2 linked regions of the Daphnia pulex genome follow. The protein of the gene in region 2 interacts with the protein of the main gene of each other region in a biochemical or structural test. Links are inferred from orthologs where the notes say so. Each region holds a gene or a part of one and is shown on either strand. Other genes may lie near its edges.

Region 1 (4,212 bases), on a different chromosome or scaffold from region 2:
ATTCCAGTTTTGGGAATCCACATCCGGCGGACTTTTGCACCAGTGGTCGGGAACGTTGGCCATAAAGAGCTGATTAAAAGCGTGAAATCCGCAAGGAATGCATGCCGGAAGGCAAACCAGCCACACAAGCAACTTCTGGTACCGTCCAAATTCGCCTACAAAGGGCAGTAGGTCATCGAAATCCCAACTTTTCTTCTCGTCCATTTTCGGACACGTCAGTGGCTCAAATTCCGGCGCGTGTAAACTATTCAATCCGCTGGATGTGATTTTTTTTTTTTTCAGAAGAGACTCACCTCTTTGTGGATTTCACACGATCGGATTCTGTACGGCAGCAATTGGGAGAAATAGTTCAGACACCAAAGTTCACTAATAACCAGACCCGCAAATCAACGTCAGTCGCCGATGGACCCATGCTGATTACAGAGGCAATCCAGGGCGTGGGTAGGCTCCGACTTCCCCTTATATCCGGTCAGCAGCAGCAGCAGCAGTGGAATCCCTAAAAGTACATTAGTCTCGTGCGTCAAAATTTTTAACAGGCTAAAGGACCACCACCTTCGATGACTCTCTCCAAGGAATCCCTACAACGTCGCCGATCATTTCAAATCTCGTTGTTGTTTTTTGTTAATTTCTTTTATTTAAAAAAAAAGGAGGAAAATACGTGATGACATGACAAGTTGTAGAGGTGTGAATTGTCGTTACATAAGAAGTGAGGGTGCTGGCTTTTTACCCGGCCAAGCTTCTTTGGCGTATTTCTTTCTCTTGGGCCCGTTGGAGGAAGGATCAGACTCTACCGCAGGAGGTTGTGTAAACTCGACATTGAGCCGGGAAGTGACCGGTGCGGCAGCTGGCTCCATTGGGGCGGACAAATCGACATCAGGGGCAGGGTTAGGCATCAATGGAAGCCCCAACTTTGAAGCTAAAGTCGAAGAGAAGAGCCCAGAAGACGCGGATTGAGATGTTAAATGAGACTGGGATGATTCACCCATCTCAGGGGGTAGGCCTCCGTACAGCCCTTCTCCTCCAGACGAGGCTGACAAAGAACGGTGGAACTGGTTCTCTCTTGACATCGTTCCACTGGCTAAAGTTTCGCTTTTAATCCGCTATAATGTCACGAAAGAAAACTTACAATTAATATCACCACTTAACAGAATTTAGAAGACTATTTAATATTTACTTTAGTAGGAATAACGAGGGAAGTGTGAACAAGATTGCGGAATCTTCCCACATTCGGATCAATATCTTCCGGATTGATAACTTCTTCTTCGTCATTGAAAGTGATCGACCTCTTCTTTCTCTTGCCTGCGGCAATTCTGCTGCCTGCGTCATCGTCGGCAATACCCAACATTGAGATCCGTCGATTATGAGCTGTGTTGAATTCAGTCAGATTCTAGATAAAGCAAACATTTGTGAAATTTTCATAAAAAGTTGAATATAAAAAGGCTCTCACATCCAACTCCATTTCTGATTCTGGAAGCCCAAGTTTCCCTCCATCCTGGTGAACACTTTTGGCTTCTTCTTCTAGTTCTTCCAAGATCGGTCTGGGGGCATTTTGTGGTCGCTCTCTCAAAATGTAATATCTAGTTGAAGCACCAAAATGAAAAGTGCTGTCGACTGGCAGTTGGGTAGGCTTTTCACTTTCAATCCTCATAGTACCAATATAGGTTCCATGGGCTGGATATTTGAAAACAATATTTAGATCAATGAACAATTAATTTTTGACAAAGTTATAAACTTACTGCTTCCCAGATCAACAAGAAATGCACGGTTCAGATGCTTGTGCCACACAAGTGCAGAGTGAACCTTTGAATCATGAAGACAGACGACAAATTAACGAAAGATGCAAAGTGATAATTTTGAAGGATACAACATACCCTGGAGCAGGATGCATGGTCAATACAAAAATCACACATTTGAGGATTCCGGCCAAAGAGGTAGCATTTCTTCTGATCTATCATCAATTTCTGTAAGAAACACGAAGAACAAAAACAAATACAAGCCGGTAAAAAAAACCATCAACAAAGCCGGCAATTAACAAACGCATGTTACCTGGATAAGTTTACCATCTTTGGTCACATCAAGGTGAAGTCCAGTCGTCGGTTTACCAGCCCTGCAGAAAAAGAAATCGGGGTTATTTCAGTACGTTACACATTTCCTATTAAAGCGTTTAAATACCAATTTGGAATCTCATAGTGATTCGCCATTTTTTTGTTTTTTTTCTGACAGCTTTTTTTCTGGCAGCACGCTGCAACATTGCGCGATTTATTAAATAATAACCTACATACGTGTAAAAGAGGCGGCAAAGTCGTAAAGCATTCAAACACACTCGGGTAATATGGTGCTACATTGTTACTAACGAATGGGACATAATGAAACCTTCAGCATTGGCGTCGTATAGACTGAATATAATACTGCGCTGGGTTTAAAACTTTTCTTTGGTCAACGATGATTGTGGAAAGCGCTTAAAAACATTCAAAGAGGTCGGGAGTTTCTCTTTTCCCTATCAAAAAATAGAATTCGTCACCTTACTTGAGTCAATTTCAACATGTGATGTTAATGCATTATAAATACACACTGGAAAAGAACAGGTGAACCACCTTTCCTTTTCTGCGCCGAAATAAATTATACCGTCAAATAAAACTGAGCCAGCAGCAGTACACGAATGATGCCCTATATATTTAGACATCTGTCAAGGAGGAGGAGCAGAGTCTAATTAAACCATTTGGCTGCTCGTTTTATTTAACGACTTGGCGAACTGCGTAATTGGTTTAAATCCAGAACATTTATATTTTTACTCTTACTATAATTTACAATGAACAATAACCTACATTTATAAAAAGAAAAAAAACGAAAAAAAAATTAATTGTACAGTGGAAATGTCCAGATTCTAAAAAGCTCAAAACACCAGATTTAGAATAACTAAATTAACAGTACAAAAGTTTACGAATCTGTGGAAATCTTTGCTTGACACCAAAAAATAGTTCAGCACCTCATTCCCGACTTGGATTTCCATATGCATCACATGTGCGTGGTGTTTTGTGTATACTGTACAACCCTAAAGTCTGAGAACTCACCCAAGTGGAAATTCTCAGCGTTCAGGTGATGTTACTCATGTCAGTATGAACAGTGAGCAGCACTCACAGGTTCAGCTAATGTCACAAGTTGACTGTCAGACAATTTAATGTTCACCTGACATTTCAGTTTTTAGGCTTTTTCTAGGTCACGTTAAAACTTTGATTCCGGACGTAATCTCTTCTTCGTTTAATTGACAAAATTTTTCTTTAGTGTCCATCATTAAACCTCCCACCAGATATGATTTATGTACCGCCCATGTAAATTTGACTAAGGAGTTTGAATGGATTATAAATAGAACCATAAAGATTAGAAAATATTAGTCCAAATGGCTTTTCTCACACATTTCGTAACAAAAACTAAATTCAAGAGAAAGAATTTTTTTTTTGACTGGGAAATCACGTCGTTTGAAATCGTCCAAGAGCTAATAAAGTTGCATAAGTACTGTCCTCGTGTAGACGGACTGTGTTTGGTGGGGTGCTTATTTTTAAATAATTATTGTCCATTCGTCTTGTCAGTCGGTGATTGGGGAAAGTCCGCTGGAATGTCTCTCAGCAATACGAAGAAAAGTTCTGGTATGTAACAGAAGAGTTTCTCTTTCGCCCTGTCCAACTAACAAAAAAAATGTAACACATTGAAGAGGAAGTCACGGACGATTTCCGGGCTGATGCCTGCGACACGATGGCGGGGCCCAGCGCAATAATATCCCGGCACCCATTTCCCTGTGTATATTCGTCTGCTCGTTGAATATATAACAAATAACGTCGCACAAAAGTTTTATCAAGAATTCTGCGTTCATTTTCCTTTTTTTTTATTTTTTGGTGTAGGCTACCAACGGTCTAATAGGCACCTGCTTGTTGGTGGGTTGCCAATGACAGTAGTTGTGCGTACAGTACAACCGCACGGCGAAATAACCGCAAAGAGCGTGATTTGTTCACATTCAAAAAAGGATGGGGGGGGGGGATATAGAAGCTCAAAAAACCGCCTAGGCACACGTGAATATTAGGAGCAATTGGCGAGAGTTGCCAATTTGCTCCCTTTCTCCTTTTCTTTTCAAAAGAAAAAATAAATTCCCCCCAGTTTTGTTGTTGCGCAACATTTTAAAAAAATATAAAAATCTTTCCAGCTGGTGCTGGTAAAAGT
Region 2 (5,017 bases):
TTGCAAACAAAGTTTTAACGGGTGTCGATCTTTCCGTGATTTTTCTTTCTTTTTTCAAAATGAAGTAGTTGATTTTGCTGACAAAAAAAAAATGTTGAGGCTGTTGCTGCTGCTGCTTTAGGATGTAAAAACCTAAATTAGAGGTTTCTTCATGAACGATGAAATGTTGCTATGGAAAATCCAAGAATTTCCCGGATAGAGCTTTTGTTATTATTATGAACAAGAATTGAAAATCCTAAGTGAAGTGTTCATATGTCGTTAATGTCGTCGTCTTCGCCAGAACCAGAATCGTCGCCGAACTCGATGTCATCATCCAGGCCGTCGTCGACGAAGTTGACAGTATCTGTGACCTTGACTGTTTCTGGGATTTCACCATATGTCTTCAAGTTACGGGCTTCATCAGCGTTGTACTTGAGGATAACGTCAGCCTTGGCATCTTGGTAATCTCTCAGGCCAACCAGGATGATGTCACCCTGATTGATCCAGACCTGTCGAAAATAAAATAAAAAAAGATGATTGACAACTCAGAGTGCCACAACAACAATCGGGACTGACCTTCTTTCTGAGCTTCCCTCTGATGTGGCAAAGCCTCTTGGTTCCATCGAAGCACAAAGCTTCAAGTCGACCATTACCCAACATTTTCGTAACTTGTGCATATTCTTGGCCATCTTCTTTGAAGATCAATTCTCTTTTCTCAGCTTCGTTCTCGTTCTTTCCCCTCCTGCGATTTTTACCTCCTTTACCTAATAAGACAGAATCGGATCGGAAGAGAAAGTACGAATTATAAATCAATTAAAACAAACGACAAACACTTGAAACAAACTGTTCGGGAGATGCACGAACGGTTGAAACTCACCTTTATTCTTGGGCATGTTGAATTTCTCTGAGTAAACTAATAAAAAGCTGAGATTTCAACACACACATATGTCTCACCACGCCAGATACTCTCAATGGACGTGCTGAAAGGAAAGAAACACCAACTTCTGTTTAGCCCCTGGACGTCAACAACGTTGCCATTTTAATCAAATCGAATTAATTTCTTTTTATGGTGATTTTTACTTTTTTTTTTTATTTTTGACACATTCAGGTTGTTAAAAATGAAAAAAAAAGAAGAAGAAAAAGAATGTATGTATATATGATTAGAGAATACGATCCCAACGCCAGACGGTAGCGTCATCACAGACGCAAAGTAATACATGGCCATTACGGCTCAACGCAGTCTGACGAATAGCCGAGATGCATTTGGGATGTGTCAAAACTAAATGGCGAGATGCCATGGGGTCGTCAGTGTCGAGATCCCACACAAAAGTCTTGCCAACTTGATTGCCCAGCGCCATAACCTGTTTCCAAACGACCAATAAAAGTTAACAGAATTGAAATAAATTTAAATAAACACATGGTGCACTACAAAGTTCAGATGGTATCTGGCTTAAATTTCTTTGAAAAATCAAGACCCACCTTGTTCCAGGAATCCAGTGAGAATCGCATGAACCAGATGTCACATTCGCGATAGTCGAATCGGTGTAGTACCGTTACGGCGTTATTGTTCATGACTCGTATGCCATTGTTCGCCAAACGGCCAGGTCGCCAACAAACTATGGTATTCTCACACGACTAGACGATTAACACATAAAATAAAACAAAACATTAATTGCTTGAGAACGTACGAAAGAGGAAATAAAATTGAGAATTTATGCCTTTGACAGCACGAAATCGCCCAGCCAGCGGACACAGTCGACGTAATTGCGGTGAATGTCACGCGTCGAAAAGTTGGGGAAATTTTCTTGAACGGTAGCGAATGGCCTGGAACTTTTGCTCGGTGCAAACGTGTAGGAATCGCCAATGGCTTTTTCAATGGCGTCCGTGTCAAGTCGCCACAGTTTCAGCGAGTGATCCATTCCGCACGAGATAACCCGACGACCCTCCAGATCGAAATCGGCGCTGAGAACTTCGTCCCGATGGCCCTCGACACCGCCAAAAATTGCGATGCATTGATCGGTTCTTATGTTCCAGAGCCGAAGGGCGTGATCCTTGGAAACGGACAGAAGTAGATTGGGATCGGACGGGTGAAACTTTAATTCGTTGATGGCGTGTCCATGACCTATTAATTTTTATTTCAAAATAAAATTTTTATCTCAATTTTAGTACAAAGAGTTTCATTATTCCAATAAACGTCATCTGCTTACCGACGTAATGTTTGATGCTATTCATGGTAGCTGGGCTAATTATGCGAACAATTCCCCTGGATCCAGCAGCTGCCAGAATGGGTTTGCCAGTTTCTTCATCATAGGACCATGCACATGTGTAAAAGTTTTCTTCTATCTGTATTAGATAAATGGTGATTGATAAAATGATGTTATACAGGATGAGATAATTAAATAGTTACATCAGGGTCTGCGTACGTCTGGAGAAGCTTGATCCCTCCAGTATCTGGGCACTCGTACACTGATATCCTGTGACTGCCAACAGTTGCAAAAACCAGAGGTTGGCCATCCCTCAGCAAGTGATTGAATTGGACACCGAAAAGTGGTTGGCCATGATCTTCTTTGATAAAGGAGCTAAAAAAATTAACATTAATACAATTTAAAAGGAATTCAACAACACGAAAATCAAATTACCCAAATTTGTAGTTGATTTTTGGTATTTTGATGCCCTTCTTTCTGCCGGGCTTTCCCCGTTTTTTGGGTTTCAAAGTTGGAGTGTCACTCCTTGAGGCAGTATCCAAAGTTGAAGAACTGCCAATACTGCTAGCAGTATCCTCCTTTTCACGTGCCAATCGAGAAAAAACATTTTAAACCCAAGAATTCTATAGTTATAAACAGAAAGCAGTATCAAGCTGATTACCATGTCATCCCCTGAAAGTTCCACAGTTTCAGTGATATCCATTTGCTCGACTGATCGTTTTGACGCCATATTTAACTTGATCAAATACAGATAGTTAAAACAGATTTCAAGTATCCAAACTTTGGTTATTGTCTAAAAATGTGCTTGTTTTATTTCTGGCAGTTTCGAAAAGAATCCATAAACAAAGCCGACGACGCCGTTCCCGCCGATGGAAGCCTCTTCTGACCAATTTCGGAACTATTTGCAATTTCGCTTTTTTCTTTTTAAAAAAATATGAACGAACGTGAACGTGCGTGATAAAAAAAACTTTCAAGCGGAACAAATACTCGGGTACTCGAGTTACAAAGGATTTGGTCAAATAACATTTCGTTGTTTTTTAGAAAACTTTTGCTGGTGCGTTATTGGCGCTTGACGATATTTGATATTTTTATTATTAAAAGTTTGTCATTGATGGCTGGCAAAATATTTCCAGTGTTGAAATACTTTTTACGCTTTCCAAAAGGGTTTTCGGTGGAGGGTGAAAATCTAAAAATAGTAAAACTTCGTGGAAAAATCGAACGTAGCGGAACAGAAAAGATTTTCGCATCAGCGATTTCCCAATGTCTTGGAAGAAAAATGAGTGTGCATCACTTGACAACTGAATCTCCTGTTCTTTTTTCTTAGTAAAAAAAAAAAGAATTATATTAATTTCAAGAGAAAATTCCGACATCTTGTGCTGCCACCTAGCGGATTCCGCATTTTGCACACGCAACCACCTTGCCGGAGGGGAGGTGAAACCACAAACAACAAGAAGAAGAACCGCTTTTTATTTTTCTTATATATTTATAGAAAAACGTGCAAGCCCAATTTTTGTCCATCGTGACCGTCTTTTTAATTTTTCTTCAAGGTCAAAAATGTCAAACAGATTTTTTCAAAATTTTTCATATGAAAATATTAAGAAATTCTCAATTTTATTGTTCCACCAAAGAAAAATAATAAAACACAGAGCACATACGAGAAATTTATTTTCTGTGGTTATTAATAAACATTGACGACAATTAATAATATTTCAAAAAAGCCTGTTGATCTAGCTTTTTATACTTGAGTTGTCTAAATGTTTGTTTTAATCCCATCTTATTTTTCTCTCTAAGGACTTTTTTTATTCAATATATCATTATTATTTTAGCTAGAAAAAAAAAGGGAGAGGAATTTCATTCAGCTGCTTTGGCTGTCAGAATTCACGTGAAAACTAAAAAAAAAAGACGAAAAAACAGGTTTGTACTTGGTCCGTAGCGCCAACTCAACTAGAGACCCCGCCCTTTCCAGTTTATTTACCGGAGAAAACGGCGGATGGTCCTTGTTCACAACACACAACATTCTGCTGCTGCACAGCAAAAATTCTCACTAGTTCTTTTCTCTCTCTCGTGACATTCAAACGAACTTGAAAATACACATCCTCTTGCTTCACCAAGGACAAACACTTGATCGCTATTTATAATAAGAAAATTATGGGGTTCGTCAGAAGAAGAAGCTCTATCATTTTTTTGTAGTTTTTTGTGTAAAGTTATTAGCAAATATGTGATTGGTCGCCTATTCTTTCTCAAATGCCGCACCGAGTGTTTCCACACATACCAAAAAAAGCCGGCAGTTATATCGAAAATATGTAGCTAAATTATTATCCATTATTTAATTTTTTTTTTTCATTTTTTTTAATTCACTTTTGGATTTGGGGGGTTAGGTGTAAAATTATCAACCTAATTGTATCCTAACTCTCATCTCTCGATGTGTGGCCTATTCTTTTTTTTTTATTATTTTAATTTTTTTTTAAGTTTGTTTTAAATAGTCGGAGGTGTGGCGATTGCGTGTTGATCCCGACCGGATGATCGGAAGAGCTGGAACACGCTAGGCAGTGGCTTGACAAAATGGTGATCGTGACTGGCGCAGTGGGGACACGACAAATCGCGACTGTACTGCGAAAAGTTTTGAAACCTTTGCTCCGGCTGCACCACTAATCCGTTGCACTGATTACACTGGAGGTGCGAAAAATCAAACAAAGGAAATCATTAAAATTAATACAATTACAAATTATTTGCGAAATAATTATAATGTAATGAGTAATTACAATTTAATTAATCGAAGAATAAAAAATAAAATTGAACATGAAACAAAACTGAATCAAAATTAATTTAATTAC

Evidence for each region.
Region 1: the proteins of polycomb protein eed-like (region 2) and nuclear inhibitor of protein phosphatase 1-like form a complex in vitro, tested with the Homo sapiens proteins (2 studies listed by BioGRID). The link is inferred for Daphnia pulex from reciprocal best matches to the Homo sapiens genes EED and PPP1R8.

Annotation. Positions count from the first base shown.
Region 1 is NC_060026.1:2,726,751-2,730,962, reverse strand, and holds nuclear inhibitor of protein phosphatase 1-like, read right to left. Parts: upstream 2,249-4,212; 5' UTR 2,202-2,248; coding exon 2,173-2,201; intron 2,108-2,172; coding exon 2,047-2,107; intron 1,962-2,046; coding exon 1,872-1,961; intron 1,801-1,871; coding exon 1,737-1,800; intron 1,672-1,736; coding exon 1,448-1,671; intron 1,388-1,447; coding exon 1,175-1,387; intron 1,101-1,174; coding exon 696-1,100; 3' UTR 691-695; downstream 1-690. Other genes in the region: carcinine transporter-like, read right to left, coding at 1-204. UniProt on the Homo sapiens protein: Inhibitor subunit of the major nuclear protein phosphatase-1 (PP-1). It has RNA-binding activity but does not cleave RNA and may target PP-1 to RNA-associated substrates. May also be involved in pre-mRNA splicing.
Region 2 is NC_060028.1:331,724-336,740, forward strand, and holds polycomb protein eed-like, read right to left. Parts: upstream 3,104-5,017; 5' UTR 2,914-3,103; coding exon 2,845-2,913; intron 2,762-2,844; coding exon 2,619-2,761; intron 2,559-2,618; coding exon 2,387-2,558; intron 2,323-2,386; coding exon 2,187-2,322; intron 2,102-2,186; coding exon 1,698-2,101; intron 1,615-1,697; coding exon 1,459-1,614; intron 1,341-1,458; coding exon 1,140-1,340; 3' UTR 873-1,139; coding exon of another isoform or gene 857-872; 3' UTR 855-856; downstream 1-854. Other genes in the region: eukaryotic translation initiation factor 1A, Y-chromosomal-like, read right to left, coding at 249-488, 556-743, 857-872; headcase protein homolog, read right to left, coding at 4,659-4,853. UniProt on the Homo sapiens protein: Polycomb group (PcG) protein. Component of the PRC2/EED-EZH2 complex, which methylates 'Lys-9' and 'Lys-27' of histone H3, leading to transcriptional repression of the affected target gene.